Linked DNA regions of Pelodiscus sinensis. The protein of the gene in region 1 interacts with the protein of each later gene in a biochemical or structural test. Links are inferred from orthologs where the notes say so. Each region holds a gene or a part of one and is shown on either strand. Other genes may lie near its edges. The genes, in order: RC3H2 and KLHL6.

Evidence for each region.
Region 2: the proteins of RC3H2 (region 1) and KLHL6 form a complex in vitro, tested with the Homo sapiens proteins (2 studies listed by BioGRID, with this or other methods). The link is inferred for Pelodiscus sinensis from reciprocal best matches to the Homo sapiens genes RC3H2 and KLHL6.

What each region holds. Positions count from the first base shown.
Region 1 is NC_134732.1:23,198,901-23,211,048, reverse strand, and holds the start of RC3H2 (roquin-2), read left to right. Parts: upstream 1-6,254; 5' UTR 6,255-6,421; intron 6,422-12,148. Other genes in the region: ZBTB6 (zinc finger and BTB domain-containing protein 6), read left to right, coding at 1-176. UniProt on the Homo sapiens protein: Post-transcriptional repressor of mRNAs containing a conserved stem loop motif, called constitutive decay element (CDE), which is often located in the 3'-UTR, as in HMGXB3, ICOS, IER3, NFKBID, NFKBIZ, PPP1R10, TNF and in many more mRNAs.
Region 2 is NC_134720.1:7,874,621-7,887,523, reverse strand, and holds the start of KLHL6 (kelch-like protein 6), read left to right. Parts: upstream 1-7,304; 5' UTR 7,305-7,426; coding exon 7,427-7,707; intron 7,708-12,903. UniProt on the Homo sapiens protein: Involved in B-lymphocyte antigen receptor signaling and germinal center formation.

The DNA.
Region 1 (12,148 bases):
TTCAGGACCATTTGAATATTCACAGTGGGGACAGACCTTACAAATGCCATTGTTGTGACATGGATTTTAAACACAAATCTGCCCTAAAAAAGCACTTGACTTCAGTTCATGGAAGGAGTGGTGGAGACAAACCAAACCTTGACGTTATTACACAAATCAAAATAGACTATGATTAGTGGATTTCTGGATAACTGTAAAGACATGCTGTTGTGGTGAAATGCCAGTTTTCCAGCAAATCTCTATGTAAGGGCGACAAGTGCAAATAAATACCTACTCTCATTTACTGTGTTGAAATCTAGTGTTGGTACAGTTGTATGGATGGTGTTTGCTAGCTAAAAGTAAATGGCAAAATAGAACAAAATTTGTGTTCCTTTACTGGTGCTCGTGGTACAGATAAAAGACATCTGCACAAAACTTTTTCTTCTAAAAGAGAACTCTTGCTGCTTTTCTTTCACACTTCCTCCTCATGTTCGAGGACACTGCCTATTTCTGGGGGATCATTGATCTCTCAACAAGCTAAAATCTGAACTGTTGCTTTCCCAACCTTTAATAGAAATGTCAATACCTATTCAGAACGTTAATTATGAGTGCTCCAAGAGCGATAGTTAATGTATCAGTCTATGTGAGGTCATTTTCTCAGTTCACCAAATTTTTGGATCTTTTAGCAAAAAGAAGTCAGGGCCTATTCTATTCTAAATAGATTTTTCTCCCACACTCCTCATATCTGATTGCCAAGTGTGTAGTTTAAAAAAAATAAAAACAGGAGAACTCTCTAAGGAAGCTTTAAAGTTTGTCTTAGAGGAACTGAAAAAGGCACAAATGTAGTATTCAGTTCACTTTTAACTGAATAGAGTAGGGGTGGCCAACCTGCGCTAGCAAGCCACATGCGTCTCTTCTTCCCCAAAAGTGAGGCTCGCGCAGCTGCTTCTGCATGTCCTTCCTCCCTCCCTATGACCCGTGCTCCTGGCTCCTCTGCTCACTGGGGCAGCCGACAACGGGAGCCCGATATGGCCAAAAAGCCTCAGCTTGTTTCTTAAAGAGGCAGCCTCTTTTCCCCCCCCGCGCCCCCCCCTCCCCCCAGACAATTCTGGTGCGGCTCTTTGCATTTTTCCCTGCTGCTGTTTTGGCTCTCTGCTAAATGAATAGAGTCTCATTTTAGTCATGTTCTAAAGGTTTCTAACAGCATTGTTCTCACTGACACAAATTGTTTGGTTGTAAGTTTTGGTAATCAATTCTTTGTCTTCTGATTGTATTTTATGTTTGTCTTAGTTTTGTAAGTCTCAGATGTATACTTATGCTGTGAAAATCCGAGCTACGCTCTATATTAGGATGTTTTTCAAATAGACGTAGAGGCCTTTCTATATAAGGAACCGTTTGGATATGGAGGACTCTTCAATCTGTAAATGTATGATATTGTAAAACACTATTGAATGTGTCTGGATAGATGTTACACTTTATGGTTTTACCTGCAAGCATCAAAGTGCTCTGTAATTCAAATTATTTATCTTGTGCCTGTCCTTGAGTGGCATACATGTTTCTTCCATTTAATGTGGTATAAATAAAAATATATACTGTTAGAGTGGAATAATGCCATTTATTCTAGATCCTCTTGAATTAGCAAAAACAGTAGTGCTCTTTCTTATGTATTTACACTATAAAGCTCTTATGTCACTTGCAAAAGGATCTCTTAACTTCCAGTATGTCATGTAGTACAAAAGTCACCTTGTTGGGTTTCACTCACCATCCAATTAGATGGGGTTTATGTACACAATATATGCTGTATAACTTCCTATTATTCATCTATAATAGCAATGTTCAACTGTACTGGTGTGATTGCATTCTCTGTCCAGTTTTGGCAGGTTTAATATTTTAGCCATTTTTTACCATTGTTTCAGAATGGGTTTATAATAGGTTCTTTACTTGATAGTTAGAATTAAGCTTTAAAGAACTGATTTACCAGTCGCTTATTATAACGCCTAGAGGTCTTAGCTGAGTTCATGCATAAAGCTAAGCATGGGATGCAGAGTTAATTCCTGTCTCAAGGTTTACAATATATATTATAGATGGGAAGTTTTGCTATCTCTATTTTACAGAAAGGTGTGCTGAGGCACAGAAAGACTAATGACCTAGGCCTGCATAAACTCAAGATGTTTCAGTTCATTTTATGTACTGTGAAGTAGTCCTACTGAAACGAATGGCACTATTTGTTGTGTAAAGTTAAGTGTGTATATATGTCGCAGGAGGAATGAGGCCTAAATGATATAATCAAGGAAGGTATAACTGTAAGCATAAGACCTCTCTCATCTCTCTGCCCTTATCCTGGATATATAATTTGGACATGATTGTTTTGGGATTCTTAACTATAACAATTCAATCCTTAGGTTCGGCAAATATGAGTTTTGTTTCCTTTTGTGCTGGATATTGATGCATGATTAATTTTGTGAGTTTTAGGTGTGAAATTTGGCAGTTCCACAGTAGTGGCAATTGCTTTTTACAGCACTTTTGTTAGTTTGGCTTGTATTCCTTGGCTATTTCTGTGTTTGCAGTCTTGATGTCATTGCATTTAGTGGTGGCTGTATTGGTCCCTCACGTGGTAACAAATGCATAGGGTTCACTATTGGTTTGGTAAATGTCTTATTTTGTTTAATAGTAACATTAAGGGCTTGCTTGACTTCCAGAACATACTCTTACTCTGCACTCTTGGTTTCTGTATTATATTAAATAATGTGCATACACTCAAATTAACAGGTTTATAGCTATTTTTTGTGCAGTGGGTAGTCCTGTGGCACCTAAAGCCATGTCTTTACTAACAGAAGATCAATGTTGATGTGATAGATCTTCTGGAATTCAAATTAACGGGTCTAGTTAAGACTTGCTAATTTGAACTCTGAGGGTGCCCCCATCTGCAGCTGATACTCCTGTTTCTGCGACCAGTAAGGGAAGCCAACAGAAGCTGTTGGCTACCTGCTGCGGGGATGGTAGGGAAATTTGAAACAAGATGCATCAACTCCAGCTACATAATTAACATAGCTGGAGTTGTCTTTTGATTCAATCTTACCTTTAGGGTAGACCTGGCCTTAGAGACTATCCAAAATGTATAGAATCATGAGATTTCATGGGTACTACCCACTTCATCAGATGAATTAGAGTGAAAATACCAGAAAACGAGATATCAAATATAAACAGCAGAAGTACCTGTCAGTTGTAGGACCCATATTAATGAGGCTAATTAAGTGGGCTGGATGTATCCCGTTCATAGTTTTTTTTGTGAAAATGAGGATGTTAAAGGCAGGAGAAATTGGCTTTGTAATGTGCCAACTAGTTAATGTCTTTATTCAAGCCCAGGTAAGTGTCGCATTTGAAGATTAATTTCAGAGTTCTGCAGACTGTAATTAGTGACATTTCTTTGTAGAAGACTGGCTGCTTTTAAATTCATGACTGAGTGACCTTCAGTTTTGCACTTTAAAAAAAAAAAAAAAAAGAAATCTGGTCCTACATGTTAGATGTCAGAAAACATTGGAGAACTATATTAAAATAACAGAGGGTACGTCTACACTTGCTCCCTAGTTTGAGCTAGGGATGCAAATATAGCTGACTGAAATTGCTAATGAAGTGAGGATTTAAATATCCCGTGTTTCATTAGCATAATCTCGCCAACAGCTGATTTGAACCAGGAAGTGCGCCCTGGGACAGTTCGAATCAAACCCCTGGGGTGAGATTATGCTAATGAAGCGCAGGATATTTAAATCCCTGCTTCATTAGCAATTTTGGTTGGCTACATTTGCATACCTAGCTCGAACTAGGGATCCATGTGTAGACATACCCAAACTAAGGAAAAAAATTGTTGCTTTTTAAATGGGATCTTTTATTGTAGTAGAATAATTATATGTATTGTGATGTTTGGGGACAGATAGAGCCTTGTTTTGGCTGACTTTCAGTTTGTTCTACCGCAGTGTCTTTTTGTCAGCAATACAGAATCAAACAATCATTGTCCAATATACAGGACTATGTAGCACTTTAAAGACTAACAAGATGGTTTATTAGGTGATGAGCTTTCGTGGGCCAGAACCACTTCCTCAGATCTAACAGTGGAAGAAAATTGGCACAACCATATATACCAAAGGATACAATCAAAAAAATGCACACACATGAAAAGGACAAATCAAATTTCAGAACAGAAGGGGGATGAGGAAGGGAGGTAAATGTCTGTGAGCTAATGATATTAGAGGTGATAATTGGGGAAGCTATCTTTGTAATGGGTAAGATAATTAATGTCTTTGTTTAGACCTAGGTGATAAATTCGACGCTTACCTAACTAATAGAGGCTATGATCTTGATATGCACCTTCTGTGTGAGGATTGGTAAGTTTTTTGTTCATCTGTAATAGTATAGGTTTATGTTTATCTCTTCAGTTGCTCGAATTTCTTTCCTGATTAATTTTGTTGAGAGAGAGAGAAATTCACTTATATGCATACATATGTCTGAGTCCCCTGGTGCTTTTCTTAAATGTAATTATTTTTTTCTATAACCTGATAAAATGGGATGGAAATAAGCATTGTTTATATATACACAACTCTTGAGGAGTGTGTGTGTGTGTGTGTGTGTGTATATATATATATATATATATAGAGAGAGAGAGAGACTGAAACTATCTTAAAAGTATTGAATATTATGTTAAGAAATTGTCCATGTACTTAAATTATAGCTAACTTGATATTTTAAGTACACTCTCAATTGTTAGTCATGTTCAACACACAGTCAACTGTAAAACTCCTTGCCAGACGGGGAGGGGTAGCTCAGTGGTTTGAGCATTGGCCCCCCCCAAACCCAGGGTTGTGAGTTCAATCCTTGAGGAGGCAATTGGGGCAAAAAATTTGTCAGGGATGGTACTTGGTCCTGCTGCGAAGGCAGGCGACTGGACTTGATGACCCTTCAAGGTCCCTTCCAGTTCTAGGAGATAGGCAATCTCCATTAATTTAATGTAGGATGTTGTGAAGACTAGTACTTTAACAGGGTTCAAAGAAGAGCTGGATAGATTCATGAAGGTTAGGTCCATCAATGCCATTGGCCTCTGTGGGTAGACAGGATACTGGGCTAGAGGGAGCGTTGGTCTGACCTAGTATAGCCATTCTTATGTTGGACTCCACAGTTCTTTTATATACGTATGTAACTGTCCCCCCCCCTTAGTTTGTTTCTAACCAGTTAACTGCCCGAGGGCTGCTTGTTGTTCTGACCTCCTGAGGTCTCTGTGGCAAAAGACTGAGAAAGCAGGCTTGGAGTCTTTATTTCAAATAATGCAGCTTGTGATTTCTTTACGGCTGCGTCTAGATTAGCATGATTTTCTGGAAATGCTTTTAATGGAAAAGTTTTCCGTTAAAAGCATTTTCGGAACAGAGCGTCTAGATTGGCACGGACACTTTTCCCCAAAAGCGTGTCTAAATTGGCACGGACACATTTCCGCAAAAAGCCCTGATCGCCATTTTCACGATCAGGGCTTTTTTGCACCAAACCACTCTGAGCTGTCTACACTGGCCCTTTTGCAGAAACGTTTTGTGCAAAAGGGACTTTTGCCTGAACGGCAGCAGAATAGTATTTCCGCAAGAAGCACTGATTTCTTACAGTAGGAAATCAGTGCTTTTGTGGAAATTCAAGCGGCCAGTGTAGACAGCTGGCAAGTTTTTCCGGAAAAGCGGCTGATTTTCTGGAAAAACTGGCCAGTCTAGACACAGCCTACTAGTTTACGGAGGAGGAAAAGAAGGCCCTCGCCGAGGAAACAACCATGCTCAACTAGCAGCATCTGCATCAAAGGACTTCATCCTTCCTCTGGCTGCAGCCTGCCGCTCTGCTCCCCGCCTCTCTTCCACGAAAAAGGGGAGCAGCAGTTTTAGGGCTGCAGGCAAGGCCCACGCCCCTTCTCTGCTGCAGGCCAAGTGGGGCCAAGCAGAGCAGCAGCCCCCTTCCCCTGGGGCAGCTGCACCGAGCTCCTGCTCTCTGGGGCCGGCAGGGGCAGGGAGAGAATAACGCCTCGCCCAGGCAGGCGGGGGCCTGGGGCCTTTCCCTCCAGCCTGGCGTAGGACACGCCCACTCCCTGGGCTGGGGCTTCTCTGCTCCATCATCTCTATGGTTCTTACCCACAGTGCACTAGGTCCGCCGCTCACCCAACCGGCGCGGGTCTGGCTGTCATGTGACGCGAAGGGGCGGCCCTAGAAGGGGGGAGAAAAGGCTCCCGTCTCACGTGACCCGGCCAGCTCTCGCGATAGTAGCGGGGGGCGGAGGGGCTGGGCTCCCGGCTGTCACCGCGATGAGGAGGCGCCGCCGAGGCCCCCGCCGCTGCCTCCGCCGGGCCGCTCCGGGCTGCCCGCCCCATGGAGTGTGAGAGGCCGGCGCCGCCTCCTGCTCCCGGCCCGGCCGCCCCGCGCAGGTAGGGCCGCTCGGCGGGCGGGGCCGGGCGGGGGGAGGCGCCGCGCGCTCGGCGGGGGGGGGGGGGCGCAGCGCCTCAGGAGAACGCGGCCGGGCGCCCCCGCCGCAGCGCCCCCCCCAGTGCCCTGCGGCAGCGCGCGGCGGGGGGGGGGGCTGTCAGCCCCGGCCTCGCCCCCTCGCTGTCAGCAGCGCCCCTCCCGGCGGGGGGGGGGAGCCGCCTGGGGCCTTCGCCGCCTGGTCCCGGGCTCGCCGCGCGGCTGGGGGCGCCATCCCCGGCTGCTGCGCGGGGAGCCGGGGCCCCTCCTCCCCGGGCTCCCGCGGGACAGGGCCGCCCCCGGGGCCGTGCCCCTCCGCTCGGCTGCTGTGGCCCCGCGGGCCCTCCGCTAGACAGGCCCCTGGGCTCTTCGCTCCGCCCGCCGGCTCACCCTGCTGCTAGCCCGGGGCGAGGCGTCACGAGCCCTGTGGGGACGCCCGAAGAGAAATAGCAGCGCAGACAAAGCCCCGGCGATGGTACCTGCTGGGGCTTAGGAGACGAGCCCAGCCCGCATCCTTCTGTGAAAGAGCAGCGGACTGTTCAGTGGAGCCCTGCAAATCCGCGCATTGGACGCGGACGTTCCGCAGCTCGTTTGGGCAGCTGTGGATGCAGATGCAAGTTTTGTATGTCGAGCCCAGCAGATGTGCGGGTAGCCGCTTTGTATCTGCGGGTATTAGCCTCTGCAAATGTCAGGGCGGATATCTGTGGTTCTTTGGTGGATGCGGATACAAATGTTGTGTCCACGCATAGCTCCGCTTTTAAGTACAAGAGCGGGGAGGGATTGTAGAGAATAACAGCAATATGATTCTGTGGTAGAGGTATTGATTTAGTAGGAAGGATTATAGGAGTTATTGGGGGAGAAGCTTATACCTAGAAATAAGTGATAATTAAAACAGTCTAGGTTGAAAATTAGGAAAGATTCTGATGGCAAGATCTTCTGGATGTATTTTCTGTCTCATATGTGATGACAAAGTTGGGCCTGACCCTAATTTGGCTATTTTTGTGGCTATTGCCAATTTATCTTTTTCACATAGGTTTATTTTTCTAACCAATGATCTTGTCCTTAATTATCAGTAAGAGAAAAAAACGGTGATACAGAATTTTAAATGAGAACATGCTAGTAAAATTGTAAATAGAGATCTGTTTGGATCAGTTAGTTATTTGACCCTCAATCTTTTGTTTAAAAACATCACTGGAATTCCAGAATTTAAAACCTATTGCACATTGTACTGTTTCATTCTTATTCTTTGTCACTAACTATGCTTTCCCTAGGTCTATATGCCTTTCTTATTGAATATGAAGAATATACTTCAATATATACTTTTCAACAAGTAATAGCATTAGCATTTCTAGCTTGTATGGGATAATACACTCCATACAAAAAAATGAAATTCTGTCAACTTAATGGAAATATTAGAGATTGCTTAAAAGATAATCTTGGTTGGTTTTCAGTATTGATCTTTATTTACTTAGCTAACTTATATGGCATAGGATGCCAATATTTATCTTACATACTTTCTGGAAAATCAACTATTAAAGATAAATAAAATGCAGCTTGCTGTATACAAATTTTACAGTTATTAATGAACAGAACATGAGTAATAGCTCTGGCTTTGGTTTTCATGTTGGATGGAGGATTGCACTGAACATATATCCTTGTATGAGTTTATTATTATTTGGTCTCGGCTCCAAAAAGTCTTGATGTTGCTTGCATGAAAATAATTCTTCAGGGAATTACTAACTCTTGCCCAAAATGTTATTGTGAAATTTGTTAGTGTCGGGACTGTTCACTTGTAAAAGGGATGTTTTAAAAAGTGCAACTGGGGTGAATGGGAGAAGGTTCAGGATAAATGCAGAAAGAATTGCCCCATGTGATCCTTGGTCTTCTGGACATCACCCTTTAAGTGCAGATGTACTCTGAAAAGTAAAAATAGCACCTTCTTAAACAAACATATTTTTTTGATATTCAAAACAAGCTCCTCTGATTTTAGCATCAAACATTTTTCCCATTTTGTCCTTCTGTTAGTCCTGAAAAATCTATGGGAGATGGGGTTTTTTGTCTGTATTTTAGGAAGCCAAAATTCTTTCTGTTACACCCCCTGCAACAAGCCAGAAAACAGATGTATAACTCAGTGAACATCTTAACATACGTTGCTTGAACAGGAAAGAGAATCTTGACTGAGGTCCTGGATGAATGGTTCTAGCATTTAGGGAAAAAAACCCAACTAAACAAAAACACTTTTACATGTGAACAGCAATGTTTATCTAGAAATCACAAGCAATAATAAATCTTGCGTGCTGATGCCATTTTTATATTAATGTGTTACATAGTATAACCACATTTCAACAAATAGTCTAAAAATTGTGTTTTTTAAAGTCTCTGTGCTAGGAAATTTGCAAGTATTGCAGTTTCCAAATTTCCCTATGGGTGTTTGGCAAAGGCTAAAGTCTAAGACAATTTTATAATAGGTTATGATAATGATCACCACAGAAATGTGCATAAATAAATCCAGGAAAAGTGCTAGATTGTTGGTTGTTTAATTATTAGCTCAAGTCTGTAATATGGGGATCCCTGAAAAAAGTACCTTGTTGTTTTGGTCTGTTTCAAATTGAGGTACATGGATGTGATGTTTCTTAAATAAAACAACATTTCTCCCTGAAATATAAGCTAAGGATGTTAACTCAGTTTGTATTGACTTGTATTAGTCGATAAGGGAAGGTACTCAGAAGGGGCTACCCCAACTGCAGAACTGCAGCAGCGATAGTTCCTGGACTCAGCGTGAGCTGGGAGCGAGCTAGGCTTGCTCAGTCCCAGCTCATGCCAGGTCCAGCATCCCCTGTCTGGGGGTGGGTCCCATCAGGGAGCTGGGGCCCACTGCGGACAGGAGCTGCTGCCAGAGCAGCTTGCTGTCATGTGGACAGTGGCTGCTGCTGGGGCAGCCTCTTTTCGTGGCCAGCCCCAGCTGCCATGGAGTCAGGGGCTGCTCCAACAGCAGCCCCTGTACACGGAGTGTGGGGGTGTTCCTGTGGGGAATTGCAACCCCCTGTGGACAGGAGCTGCTGCGGCGAAGCTTCTCCTATCTGTGGGAGGGCTCAACTTCCTACTGGGACCCCTTACAGACAGAGGCTGCTGCCAGAGCAGCCTTCCCTGGTCCCCCTGCACTGCTGCTTCTGACAGAGGCAGCAGCACGGGGTGGGGGAAAGTGGCACTGCAGAGACATTGCTGGGGGATCTGGCTTTTAAGCTGGCTTTGCCCCCCCCCCCCCTCCCGAGCACCAGCTCCTGTTTCCCCCATCCTCCTTTCTGCCTCTGGGGGGGGGGGGATGCAAGTGGTCAACTCAAATAACCAATAAGCCTAGGCCCATTGTGTAGTTGACTAATCAACTACTCTTCTATATCCCTAATATGAGACTTGTACTTTCCCCAGAGATAAATTCAGGTTTCTAATAAAAAGTCCTATCAGAATGGTAGCTTGGAATATTGTCTTGTAGTGGTCATTGAACAGCTCTCTTTACATTTAGGCTGCTTCTCAGAAGATTTAAATGTGACGGATATTACGTGATATGCAGAAACAAGCAAGTCTGTTCTATCTAAAGAAGATTTATTTTCACTTCAAATCATCATAGCTAAATGATGCAAAGTTATTATTGGGACTGCCAACTTCCTTGGCCTTTAATGTGCACCCAGTTTCTTGGCTATGTATGTTGTGGTGGTTAGAGTAATAAATGGAAGACTGAAGTCCATTTAGAATGTAATTTGATACTAATAATTTGATAACATGAGCAATAAATTACTGAGATAGATGAGAAACTTTCAACTTAAGTAACTTCAGAAGGAAGGCTTGACAAACCTACTTACTGTAGTCTAAACAAGTGATTAATTTGCTTGCACAGATGGAAAATTGCAATGGATGCCTTGACATTTTCCCATTTTATAATCCCAAGTTGTCTGCAGCTAGCTACTATGTAAAGAGCATCTCAGCCTCAGAAGCATGGTTAAAATCATATAGTAAGAGTGTATTATATTAGAATAAAATCCATGTTGTAATTTGCAGTGCCTAATGCACTCAGTCCTTAATAATTCAAAGTTCTCAATAGTAGGACTAAAAATTGAGTGGAATCGAACTCATTGAAGTCAATAGGGAAGGTTAATAGGATTGAGAGAATGTGCCAAAGTTAGTTTAAAATGTGAGCCTCATGTACCATACAGCTCCATTGTGAATCAGCTTCACAAATTATAAATTAAAAAAATCTAATGTTTAAAGTAATTTCATCAAGTAGTTAAATCCACATTTTTTGTGATTCAAAAAACAAATTCAGGTTCACTTATTGTGATTGATAGGAAAATGTAAACATCCCCTGGGAGGATTATGAATTCAAACTCAGTAGCATGTAGCTACTGCAGTAGAAATAAAAAGTGAAACTTGATGATTTGGGCAAGTCTGTCCTCTATGCAATAGTTTCATAATGAATAGCAAACAGTATATTTAGATGTCTAAATTCTTCAGGTTTAGTAATCTAAGGTGGTCTTAATATGATGTCTCAACTGATAGCATTTCAACATACTGTTAAAAAAATGAAACCTTCTTGCTGTGTGCTTAATCATTTTCTGCATTGTGTTGGTGGATTTTTCACGTAGAAAGATTAGGGTAACTCTCTCTTTGTTTAAAAAAAAAAAAATTCCCTTGGGATGACAGTGACATCATCACATCACTCTGTGTCTACACGCCCCACCCTCGCACGAGCTCCCTCACAGCGAGGCTAGACACGGGCTCCCTGCCCCTTCGGGGATGGCAAAGTCACCTGCCAGCCCAACCTGGATAGATTCTGCCTCCCAAGAGTCCTGCCCACTCAGTTCTGGCCACAGCTTTTCAGGGGGCCTGTCCCCTGGCCCAAAGGCTGCTTTGGCTTATGCGAGGCCCACTCATGCTGGGGACAGAGACAGACTCCCATGCCCCTGGGTGCCATGACTTGCTCCAGGGCAATGCTACAGTCATTCTTGGTGCTCATGGGCTGCTGGGCCAGCAGGCTTAGGAGAAGTGTCAGGCACAGGGCGAGGCTCCCCGTGTGCCCAGCTGCCCACTGCCTGATCCTTCACCACGACCCAAGTGGCCATTTCCTGAGTTCAGTGCCAAATTACCCTGGGGGAGACCCAAGCCCAGGCTGGCTCCCTCCCACCCAGCCATGCATGGGGCTGCAGAAATGAGTGGTGCTTCTGCAAGGCAGGCAGGAAGGCACCCAGCAGCACTGACTTGAGTGGTCTGGGCCCCCTTTGCCTGGTGCTGCAACCTCGCCCTTCCTCCTCCCCCAGTGATTGGAGCCCCTGAGCTGGCTTCCCAGTGTGGGGAGAGAGAGCCCCAAGCCTCGCTGTGTGGGTAGGAAGCGCTCCCCTCCCAGGCTGGGGAAACGGCAGCGCATGAGCACGCTGTCTGGAGGCTTTCCCTGCACTCCCATTGGCCAGAATCCAGCTGGTGGGAGGCTGAGCATGGGACTGATGTGGGATCTGAAGAACAGTAAGTGCCGCTCACTCGTATACCCAGCCGGTGCACCTCCAGCCCCTCACTTACCCCCCCAGACACCCTGCCCCCAAGACTCTGTTACCCCCAGCCAGACAGCCTGCCTTTCCCTCCCCCCCCAGGCCAGGAACCCTGCCCCCAAACCTGCTCCTGCCCCCTCCCCCTGGACAGACCTCCTA
Region 2 (12,903 bases), on another chromosome or scaffold:
ATCAGACAAGCCAGTTTACTAGTAGTTTGTATAAAACTAGGTCCACAAGTTTCAGGTGTTATTTTAAGAACAATCTTCCCAGGTACCTACAAAAATCTCATCAGTTTCCTGGTTTAAATGAAGACTTCCTATTTTCAGCTTGTGGTTGTTGGACAAACTTACTGAAAACACAGGCAAGGAATCCATCAGTCCTGCACTGACATCAGATTAACAGGTTCATTAGAGGACAATTAGTGAGTTCACGAGGAAAGAAGGCTGCTGCCAAAGCAAGTTCTGAAGGCCAAAGAGTGTCAGAACTCTTTTTGGAAGCCATTACTAGAAAGTAAAAACAGATAGGATTAAGGAATATACCACTGTAGTAGTCTAGGGTGACATAACAGGGTCGCATTTGCTTAAATTACTGGTGATCTATTAAACCATTAATAACCAGCCTGCTTTAAAGAGATCAACGCAAAAACAAGTGCCTGGATGACTTCAGATACCTTAAAAATGACTCTGATTATTTTGTTCTATTAGCCTGTGGTCATGTAAAACACAGCACTTGCCTCTCAGCTCTGCATTACTGCCTGATGATGCTAGTACTTAGGCAAATCATGACAAATCACCAACAACCCATCTCTTAAGCTGCAGTGAGTCTTTCCTTGTGGACCAAAGGATTCTGGTACTATTAAGCACTTCTAGAAAGGCAGACTCTGACCATGAGGAGCTGCCTGGTAGAAAAGATAAGGTTTATAGCAGTTACAAATAAAGGGTGTTGGCAAGGGGATCTGAGTGTCACAGTTCTACCTATCTTTCCTCCTCTGGTGCTCAGCAAGGGTGCTCCAGTCAGTGGGGAGAGAGATGTGCATCTCCAGAACAGGTCCCAGCATTTGCTATATTATTCCCAGCAAGAAGCTCACTGCCTGAGCAGAGCTACTTGGTTTCTTTTCAGAGATTGATAATTAACTGCCTCAGTTAAGCTGCCACACAGCTCTTTCTATGCCAGGGCTAAAGCGTCACTCAGAAAACATATCTAAAACACCAGAAGAATCTGTATGCAGGCTAATAAACTTAGCAGAGATCACCCAACTCTGACAAGGTCTGTGGCAGGTGATTAGCCTTTCAGGCCTGCAGAGGGTCTTGTCGGTGGTCACAAGTTCATAACAACCTCAGCTCAGAACTAGCACAGTCATGAAACATTTAGTCCAGCTTTTATACAGTTCAGGGGTCTCTGATCTGGAGTTTCCAGGAGTACATAATCAGCAGATGATATGTTTTTCTTCTTGGGCTGTAGCTTTAGAAAACCAGACCAGTCAGTTTAACCTCTGTGCCAGGAAAGATAATGGAGCAAGTAAGGAATTCATCTGCAAACACCTAGAAGATAATAAGGTGATAGGTAACAGCCAGCACGGATTTGTAAAGAATAAATCATGTCAAACCAGTCTGATAGCTTTCTTTGATAGGATAACGAGTCTTGTGGATAAGGGAGAAGCAGTGGACGTGGTATACCTAGACTTTAGTAAGGCATTTGATACGGTCTCGCATGATATTCTTATCAATAAACTTGGCAAATACAACTTAGATGGAGCTCCTATAAGGTGGGTGCATAACTGGCTGGATACCCATTCTCAGAGAGTAGTTATTAACGGTTCACAATCATGCTGGAAGGGCATAACAAGTCGGGTTCCACGGGGTCTGTTTTAGGTCTGGTTCTGTTCAATATCTTCATCAACGATTTAGATAGTGGCATAGAGAGTATGCTTATTAAGTTTGCAGATGATACGAAGCTGGGAGGGGTTGCAGTTGCTTTGGAGGATGAGGTCATAATTCAAATGATCTGGACAAACTTGAGAAATGGTCTGAGGTAAATAGGATGAAATTTAATAAGGACAAATGCAAAGTACTCCACTTAGGAAGGAACAATCAGTTTCACACATTCAGAATGGAAAGCAACTTTCTAGGAAGAAGTATTGCAAAAAAGAATCTAAGGGTCGTAGTGGACCACAAGCTAAATATGAGTCAACAGTGTGACACTGTTGCAAAAAAAGCAAACATGATTCTGGGATGCATTAACAGGAGTGTTGTGAGCAAGACACGAGAAGTCATTCCTATGCTCTACTCTGTGCTGATTAGGCCTCAATTGGAGTATTGTGTCCAGTTCTGGGCACTACATTTCAAGAAAGATGTGGAGAAATTGGAGAAAGTCCAGAGAAGAGCAACAAAGGTGATTAAAGGTCTAGAGAACATATCCTATGAAGAAAGACTGAAATAATTGGGTTTGTTTAGTTTGGAAAGGAGAAGACTGAGAGGGTACATGGCAGCGGTTTTCAGGTATCTAAAAGGGAGAAAAATTGTTCTCCTTAGCCTCTGAGGATAGGACAAGAAGCAATGGGCTTAAACTGCAGCAAGGGAGTTGGACATTAGGGAAAACTTCCTAATTGTCAGGGTGATTAAACGCTAGAATAAGTTGCCTTGGGAGGTTGTGGAATCTCCATCTCTGGAGATATTTAAGAGCAGGTTAGATTGACATCTATCAGGGATGGTCTAGATTGTACTGGGTCCTGTCATGAAGGCAGGGAACTGGACTCGACGGACCTCTCGAGGTCCCTTCCAGTTCTAGTGTTCTATGATTCTATAATGGCACAGATGGCGATAAGAAGGAAGACAGCCATCAACATTTGCACCATTCAACACAGTGGAGGCTGCTAGGGCATTCCCTATGTCATCCATAATGGTTGGGGAGCTAGTTGCATCGCAGTTCTCCACTGACATAGTTAGGGCATGGTTTCATTTTGCAGCGTTAATGGGACCTGAACCCAAAGTTTGTATTCACCTTTGCGCATCCTAGTAATTTAACTATATCTTGCAATGTTTAGTAGTTTTCTTAAAGTGTCTTGGGTACTTACCTGAGAACCTCAGTTTCCATTTAAAAAACAGTCAAGTTTCTAACCCTAATGGTATAAAGAAAAGCTTGGAAATGGGAACCTTAAAGGGTTCAGACACTAGAAGGCAAATACAAATAATCTAATATTGTGGTTAAAATATGATTTATTTAGATCAATCTTATGATTTTTTGGGGACTGACTCATGATTTTTGAACCCATGGATCTGGCAGACACAGATGGAGCATAAGAAGAGAGGAATTCACAGTCACTAGAAGTAGCAATAGCAACTCCACAGCTGCATTCCGCTCTGGGATCATGAAGGAGCAAATAAAGATTGAGCAAATTCTGCAAGAAATGACAGACAATGAATGCAGTAGAGAGGGGAGAAAAGGAGGAAGATTTCTGGCTTCCTTGCTTTCCACCCTTGCAGCCTGCACCAGGGCCACCCAAAGTCCAGTTCTATCTCAGCATAATTGTTCATTCCCTCCAATTGTAAAGTCAGGCTCCTTTAATATTGTGGCTTTAATTAGAAAGAGTTTGGAAGGAGAGAGAAAGATAACTAATGAATTTCAGAAACCTAGAGATGGCCTAAAGCACCAATCCTGTAAATAATAGTGTCACAGATTCAAGGTGTGCTCTTATACCACTTATAAAAATTAGAAATAAGTATCATATCCCACTGAAATGGAGGATTTCCTGGTTCCCTGCAGATATAAAGTTCCAAAGCCAATGACAGGATTAGGCCACCCAACTCCCATTACTTTCAACAGGGTTCTGTGGCTAAATTCTCTAGCTAGCTTTCAGAATTTCTCACCTACACTATAAAGTTTTGTGGGAAAATGGCAGTTTTTCCAAAAAATCTTCAATTACGTCCACACTACAATCGCATTCTTTTGAAATAAAATTAAAAGAACAAATGGGATTTTCTGGCATTGGTAATCCTCTTTCTACGAAGCAGAAGCCTTTTTCCAAAAGAGCTCTTTTGGAAAAAGGCATGTGTGGACTGGGAAGAAGGAGTTCTTTCAAAGAAGAGGAAAGAGGAAAAAGCACAGGTGCCCTGGTGGCCACTTTGTCCATAGTAATCACAGTTTAAATGCGAGATAGCATCCATTCAGTGTGTAAGCTACCTTTCGAAAAAGCAGATCGCTTTTTTGATGCACTTTGGCAGTGTGGAAGCTCTTTTGGAAGATGTTTTTTTGGAAGATCTCTTCTGGAAATGTTTCTTCCGAAAGAAGCCTGAAGACTAGATGTAGCCTCTGTTCCTAGTCCTTGAATGGACTGTAAACCCAAGTCCAAGACCTAAAATTACCTGTTTTGTATCTCAGAGCAGTGTAGTTTTTTGTGTGTGGCAGGATCTATTCCACATTGGAGAGGAAACATCTCTTTGGAGTTTGCTTGAAGCTTCTCAGAGGTTTGGAATTATAGTTGTAATTCTGGGTAGAGATGGATTGGTGGATGAAGAGCAGGTCAGGCAATCAAATCAATGTAGTTGTTTCGATTAAAAACAGAATGTTTAAAAGCCAATTTGCAATATCAGCCATCTTACAAAGTATGTTTCTCAACATATTACCGTTACTAGTCTTCATCTCTTTGTTCATGAAGGCCTCCAAAGAGAAATCCCATTCTTAAAGTTCTTGCAGTAAGGGATTCTAATGTCTAAGGCTATGTCTGCACTTGATCAACAGCCTTCTACCCCCACGCATGACAAAGTTTTGCCACAGCAAGTGAAAGTGTGAATCCACTCCTGCTAACAAAACAAAACCCCGTCATTGGGGGTGGAAGTATTTTGTCAACAAAAGTGCTGACAGACAGCATGGATTCATGCTGACTTTTAGTGACAGGGCCGTGTCAACACAGCCTTGTCACTACAAACTATGTAGTGTAGACATACCCTAAGCATACTCAAGTCTCTTTAGAGCTAGATAAAAACTGGTGTGGGGTGGGGGGAGGAGAATAAAAAAATTGAACATTTTCATTTTTCATAGTTCAAAACTTAGCTTTTTAAAAAATATTCCAAAAACATTTCCCATTTTAATTAGAGTATTAGACTCACAGAATCATAAAATTGGAAGAGACCTCAGGAGGTCATTGAGTCCAACCCTCTGCTAAAGGCAGGACCAATCCCAACTAAATCAGCCCAGCCAGGGCTTTGTCAAGCTGGGACTTAAAAACCTCTAGAGATGAAAATTCCATCACCTCCCTAGGGAACCCATTCCAGTGCTTCACCACCCTCCTAGTGAATTCTCCCTCTTTCTGTCCTTTCTGGAATCAATACAGTACATTATGTCAAGGACTGGGCCTTTCTTTCTTTCTTTCTTTCTTTCTTTCTTTCTTTCTTTCTTTCTTTCTTTCTTTCTTTCTTTCTTTCTTTCTTTCTTTCTTTCTTTCTTTCTTTCTTTCTTTCTTTCTTTCTTTCTTTCTTTCTTTTCAACTTTGGAAAAGTTGGATAAAAGTACAAGAGAAGAACCCAGAGGGGATCTTTGTAGCAATGAATCTTTGAACTCCATTCTTCCTCAATTCCTCAGTGCCCATGGGGCACAATTCACTGCCATGGCACCTCCTGCTGGTTGTTCCAGGAATTAGCTCAGTTTTCAGCAGGGTGCCTCCTGGCAGATATCTTGCTCATCATCGCTCTGTGCTCTTCTCACGATCTTGCTCTGGACCCACATTACTCCCAGACCATGGAGTCCTCTTCAGGACACTGCTCTCCAGCAGTGCCCACCACAGTGGTCTCTCACCCCCTTCCAGAGGTATCAGCAGTTCTCAACTTCCCCTGCCACTATGGCCAACTGCATCCCCAAAGCCTAGCCCCTCTGCCTCAGGGCACGCCACAGTCTGTATAGGCCACTGTTCCTGGTAGCAAGGTGTGGTATGAGTGATAAGGGGGGACCCAGGCCCACCCACTACTCTAGGTCCTGGACCAGAGACCCTTGGGCAGAAGCCTCATCCTGTCCCCTTCTCTCCCTTCTACTGCCTCCTGTTTCCTGGGCCACTTCCCCTGTGATTCCTGCACCTCCCTGGCCCTTGTGTCAAGGCCAGCAGCCTGGAAGGTATCAGGCTGAAGCCTCTCTCTCTAGCCCCCCTGATCCTGTCCAGCACTGCTCTCTCACCAAAGTGTTTCTCAGGAAACCAGTCCCACACCCTCCAACATCAGGACCCGACTGCCTCGCTTTGCTGGGAAGCTCCTTATATACAGGGCTTGGCCCAGCAAGCTGCCCTCTGATTGGCTTCTTAAAAGCCTCTTCTGATTGGCCAAGGCTCTGCACAGGCTCCCTCCAGCCTGCTTCAACCCCTTCCAGCTAGTGTGGGGCAGCCACCCCACTACACTCAGGTTGCTTTTATCCTGCCCTAAACCTCTTCTGCCCTGTGCAGCTCACAATTGCATACAATTCAGGAGTCCACCCTATACTCGGATGGCCCTCTTGTGGAGGGAGAGTGAAACTACACCCATGTTGTTGTCAGGTGCTACAGAGACAGGAAGAGAATTTGTCTCTTGGTATCAAAATAAAATAATTCTCAATGAGGCTTCACAGTTATGAGAGGAACTTCGTGAACTTCTGGTGTATTTACTGAGTTGTGTGTAGGGGCGGTTTCACAAGGTTATTGTGGTGTGGGAGGGGTTATAATACTGCTACTTTTACTGCTGCGCTGCTGCTGGCAGTAGCTGTGCCTGCTGAACAAGGTCCTCAGTCAGCAGCCGCCACTCTCCAGCCGCCCAGCTCTGGAGTCAGCAGCGCAGATGCAAGGTTGGCATGATATGTATGGAATTACCAGCCTTACTTCTACACTGCGGTGGCTGGAACACTGACTTCAGAGCGGGGCACATGACCAACAGCCACCACCCTCCAGCTGCCCAGCTCCAAAGAAAGTTGAGAAGTAAACATGGCAATCCTGTGCCCCCCTAAAATGACCTGGTGACCCCCTGCAATTCCTTTTGGGTTAGGACTCCTAATTTGAGGAACACAGGTCTCCCATGTGAAATCTGCACAGTGTAGAGAAATAGCAGACAAAAGACCAGATTTCACAGAGTGAGAACAGATTTTGCGGTCCGTGACGTGTGTTTTATGGTGGTAAATTTGGTAGCACCCTAACAACAAAGTAAACATGTTATAGATGGCAGCTCAGGCATCAGCATTTAAAATGATAAAGTGTCTAATTGTGAGAATTTATGCCTGATAACAGACATTTCTCACATTCAGTACTCACTGCCAGTGGATGGACCTGGAATCCATAAAGGACACCTTTCATTTTGGATAAGCAAATTGGGATAAATAAAAGGCCAGTGTCAGGATGCGAGAGAGGCCTTCCCCATCATTTGTAATCTTCTCACATTTAGAAGCATCTTAAGTCTTTTCTAAACATGTTGATATTGCCCGAAATTCACAGAAACCTCCACCCTCCCAGCCTTTGTTTGTGTTAACAGGATGAGAAAGTGCAAGGCTTCCTGTTATGTGTGTGACAGCTGTAGATAAGCGGAGAGCCCTGGACAGGAAATCCGCTTAACTTCGGCAGTGTAACTCATCTGAAGCTTAGGAACTCTTTTAGAGAGAAGCCCCAACGGAATGACACGGTCTGGTTCCAACATGGGGGACACAGTGGAGAAAAGTTCTGAAGACCCTCTGGTCTCTTTGGACAATGAGTACTCCAGGAAGATGGGGGACCTAGTGGAAATCTCAAGTGGGGACAAGGTTAAGTTTGATGACACTGGGCTTTCTATGGTGCTTCAGAATGGCCTGGAGAACCTGAGGCTGGAAAACTCTCTCACGGATGTCATCTTGTGTGTGGACCACATGGAATTCTCTTGCCACCGTGTGGTCCTGGCGGCAGCAAGCAATTATTTCAGGTAAGGCAGTTTTTAAAACCAACACCTTTTCCCCTCAGTACACGGAGGCTGGGCGTTTCTAAGGCGCCTCAGGCTGAGTGCCCAGCTCTTGCCGACTTTCAGAGGGTTTGGACCCCTGTCTCCGTTACTCTCTTTGACAGTTGGAGCCTTAAATTAGGAAAGCAACAATGTCAAACATGTCACGTCTACCCCAAACAGACAACTGGAGGGAAAACAATTGGCGATGGAAGGACAAAATCTTAGCCAAATATTCTGAGCATTGTTTACCCATCATTGTATGCATCCTTGATTCATTGCAAATTTGGGGTAGTTTTGTTTTAGTGTGACTGTGGAAGTTGTCTTTTTTCACTATTACTATGTGGTAGAATGCATAGTCTGTAAACTTGTTGAGAAGGGAAAAGGATGTGTGTCCTCTTTCCTGTCTTTCCCAAGATTACTGTAAAATCAGTTGAGAGATGGGAACTTCTTGTAAGGAAGAAATTTTACAAATTCCAAAGAATCCACCTTTAGTCCTTTTAAAACCACAGTGAACTTTAGGCTCCTGATTGGAAGGAACAAACTTGAGACTCATGGAGAAACACAGTATGAGTTATAACATTTTCCATTATCAGTTTAGACCTTCACATTTGCATAGCTGGGATTTTTTGTCAACTGTTGAGATGGCGTGGTGACTGACTACAGTGGAAACTGGAGGGAAACAAATCTGCAGGCATTAGTGATTTGAGTAGGAAGTGCCAGTTTCATGGAGGCTTAGTGAAGTTTACTCACAGAGATCACAAGAGAAGTGCTATTTTAGACATCCGAGACTAAACCTAATACAAAATAAGATTTACATGTGAAACTCATGCAGCTGAAAGCAGTGTAGTAGTGGTGCCATATGGAAAAAGGGAAACAAAATGAACAGTGGAAATCTGAATTAAAATAATGTAACTGAAAAATGGCCAACAGTCAAACCAGTATTGTGTGTTATCAGGGGATTACAGATTGGCTTCCTCCAGCCAGGGATCCCCAGTGTGACGGGAGTGGCTGTTGGCATCACACATCACTGACTGCTATCAGCCAGGCATCTGCTGTTGGCAGAGGACTCTGGGAGGATGAAATGCCCCTGGGTGTATGGTGCCCCTCTCAGCCCTTTGGGATATGGCACAAAATGGCTCAAAAAGGAGGGTGGATACTGACTGGGTTTTGTCATGTGAAGAGCAAGGATGGATTCATTGGATGTTGCATGTCTGCAGGGAGCAAATAGTTTTCTAAAATTATTTCTCTCATTTGTCATCCTGAATTGGGGGGTAGGTTTGTACAAGGCCTAACACATTTTGGATGCTAACATAATAAAACTCCAGCCATCTGAAGAAGTGGGTTGTGCCCACGAAAGCTCATGAGCCCATCTACGTGCTTTGTTAGTCTATAAAGTGCTACCAGACCATTTGTTGTTTTTTAAGTTTATAGTATAAGTAGTTCATGCTAAATTCACATTTTAAACAGGGGTTGAGCAGGGACCAGGCAGAGGTATCAACTTTCAGTCCTTCCTCTGTTATCATTGAAGATCATATATAATATAATGTTTTGATGGAGTCCTGTATCCTTAAACGTGCCTTAAATTCTCCACTCCAGCTGTGCAAAGTAAATGGTGTAAAGAGGGTACCAAACCAGAAGAGCAGCATTTTACACCTGATTTGCACCAGGTAGTGGAGAAACAATCCCACAGAAACTGGGGCCAATATTTTCAGAAGCAACTGTTAGTTATGAGAGTCGAACATTTGCCAAAATGCGGGTGCTTAAAATTACACTCATTAAGTCCAAATGTAGGAACCTAAGTGTCCTAACATTCAAAAATGCTGGGTGCACAGCAGCTCCCATTTCCTGGGTCTAAATTTGGACTTTGAAGCCTTATTTTAGACACCCAATTCTGAAAATCTGAAAGCAGGGCAGTGGTGTGGTAGTGCCCTGCATTCCCAGCCTCGAGAGCTTTGTCCAGCTGGGGGCTTGCAGGATGTTTCTGTATGGCCCACGTGGAAGGCACCATTTTGTAGAGCAGAGTTGCCTGGCCACAGTAGAGCTGCTGGAAGAGACACCAGTCCTCCATGATGTTACACCCCTCCTCCCCCCCATTTCTGCCCCCTGACTTTCAAGGAGGAGTGATGTGGAGTTGCTTAGCGCTTTTCAACCCAGGGTCTCAGCAGGTCTCACACACAGTAAACAAGTCTCCCCTCACCCCACTGAAGTGGGGGCAGGGGAAAATATTATTCCCCCCATTTAAAGGTTAGAGGATAGGTGCAGAAAGCTCCCCCGTGAGAGCGGAAAGCCACGGTAACTCCACTGAGTTACTCCAGTTTCAGGCTGATAAGGTGAGAACAGAGCTGCACCTCCCCGGCTGTTAGTGCCCTGCCTTACCACAAGACCACAATCACAGATCTAGGAGATAAAGAAGTGAGGGTACAGAACAGCTGCATCCTAGGACAACAGCCCGTTTCTCACTCACATGAAGCTCTTCCACTACCACACGTGCAGTATGTGCCCTTTAATTCTTTCCTTTTTTGTATAGAACCCCTCTCTCTCTAACGTGTGACCGGTGCTTTTGCTCTCAAATGCCTGCCTGCCTGGAATACCCGAAAATGTCATCTCAACAGCATGCAGCACCCCTGCTATAACATGACAGAGTAAAATACACAGAAGTAACAGGGGCCTAACTCCTGCTCCTGTTGAAGTTAAAAGATATTTTGCCATTGACTTCCGTGGGAACCAGGAAGGAAAGCAGGGAACAGGAAAATGCTACAGGGCAGTGAAAATGCGAATGAGGCAAGTCTTTGGAATGATTAGGTCTGCACAAGCCTTCTGCTCACAGGCTCTGTCTTCCCTGCCGTGCACAGCAGGAGACTAACATGGATTGTCTATCTTGCTTAAAACCCTAGTGTAGAGAAGGTGCAGGTCACTTTTATTGAAATCTAGCTAGGAGAGGTCAACAGCATAGGCCCCGCCTGTGGCTCACCTCATCTAAGTATTTTGTGGTAAAAACGACAGCACCTGGCCTCCGCTTCCCAGAGAGGTTGCTAATCTGTGTTTGGCAGGAAACACACACCTTTTCTGTCCGTGAAGACTTTGGTCTGCAAGACAATTATACACAGTTCTCCTAACTTTGCATCCTTATGTGGTCCTTTCTAACCTAGAAAGATTTGGCATTCCAGGTTAATAGGAGATGAATTACATTTGAGACGCTCACACATGTTTTCCTCTGGCTGTAGTCAAAAAAAGGTTCAGGTACTTCTAATCTTACTGTTGTGATTGAATCATCTTTGAAATCTGGCACCTGGCCTCTAAGAGTCCGTGTACACTACAGAGAAGATCGAAGCTGCTGCTATTAATCTTTCAGGGTTCGAATTAGTGGGTCCAGGGAAGACACACTAATTCGAACAAAGAGGCATGCACCAGTCGATGCCGGAAGGCCTGCTTCCAAGAGAAGTAAGGGAAGTCGAAGGGAAATGTTCTCCCTTCGACCTCCTGGCTACGTCTAGACTGGCATAATTTTCCGCAAATGCTTTTAACGGAAAAGTTTTCTTGCACGGTTTTGTGCAAGAAAGCCCCGATCGCCATTTTCACCTTTGGGGCTTTTTTGCACAAAACACTTTTTAGCTGTCCCTCTTGCGCAAATACATTTCTATCACTATTTTACATTAGATCGTCAATGTTCTTGCGCAAATTCAAGTGGCCAATGTAGACAGCTGGCAAGTTTTTCCGCAAAAGCAGCTGCTTTTGCGGAAAAACTTGCCAGTCTAGACGCAGCCCCTGTAGTGTGGACAGCGCCAAAAGTTGAGTTAAGGTACTTCAAGTTCAGCTACACAATTAATGTAGCTGAAGTTGTGTATCTTAATTGGACCTTATCCCATAGAGCAGACGAACCCTAAGTGACAGCTGAACTCAGTGACAAAGATCAGGATAATCAGCAGGTATTTAAAGTGCAAAACCAGAATTGAACTGGGAGTGAGAAGCCATTCACCAGCAGTACATTCATCTTATAGAAGAAAACTGCTTGAAGAGAGACTCAAAATTAAAGGGGGATTAATAAATTAAAGAAAGATGAATGTGCCAGTGAGGAAGCAAAGTGCTTTGAGATGGCGCTTAGTTAATTCTGTGGTTTAGATCCTGTACACAATACTCTGTTAGGATTAGTTTTGTCTACACTACACAGCTTTGAATGACATGACTGTGTCGCTAAAAGTGGGGCAAAATACTTCCATGCTCACAACAGTGTTTGCGTTGTCAACCAGACAGTGCTCCTGCCGGAAACAGCAGTTCACCCTGACGCTGCTGTGGCAAAAATTTTGTCTCTCAGGAGCGGGGGGTTAACATTCTGAACAACAAAAGTTTTGTCGCTCAGTTGCCAGTGTAAACATAGTCTACAAACACACCGTCATCAATAACAAGGAAATTGCCATTTAAGGCAATATTAACAGCCAAGCCAACCACAATTCAGATTCATTGCCATTTATATACCTTATACCCGAAGACACAAGCTTCTCAACTCCACAGCAAACTCCATGAGGTTCATCAGAGGGAGAAGCTGCTTCTGGAGCAGAGAAAGTAACTCTGTCCTAAAGGCATCTTCATCTGTAAAGTTCCCAGTCCCTCCTCTCTGGGACTCATAGGGTCCAGGACATAGTGGGAGACTTAGGCTACGTCTAGACTGAAGGCTTCTTTTGGAGGAAGCTTTTCCGGAAGAGATCTTCCAAAAAAACTTCTTCCGAAAGAGAGCATCCACACTGCCAAAGCTCATTGAAAAAACTATCTGCTTTTTTGACTGATAGTGTCCACACTGAATGGACGCTATCTCGCATGTAAGCTGTGATTACTATGGATGAAGTAGCCACCAGAGCACCTGTGCTATTTCCTCTTTCCTCTTCTTTCAAAAGAAGTCCCTCTTTCCAGTCCACACATGCCTTTTTTGGAAAGAGCTCTTTCAGAAAAAGGCTTCTTCCTCGTAGAAGGAGGTTTACCAAAGTCGGAAAAACACCTCTGTTCTTTCGATTTTTTTCCGAAAGAACGTGATTGCAGTGTGGACACAAGTGAAGTTTTTTTGGAAAAACGCTGTAGTGTAGACATAGCCTTAGAGTATGGCTACATTGCTTGCTTATTTTGAAATAAGCTATTCCGGAATAGTTATTCTGAAATAGCTTATTTCAAAATAGCACGTTGACACTG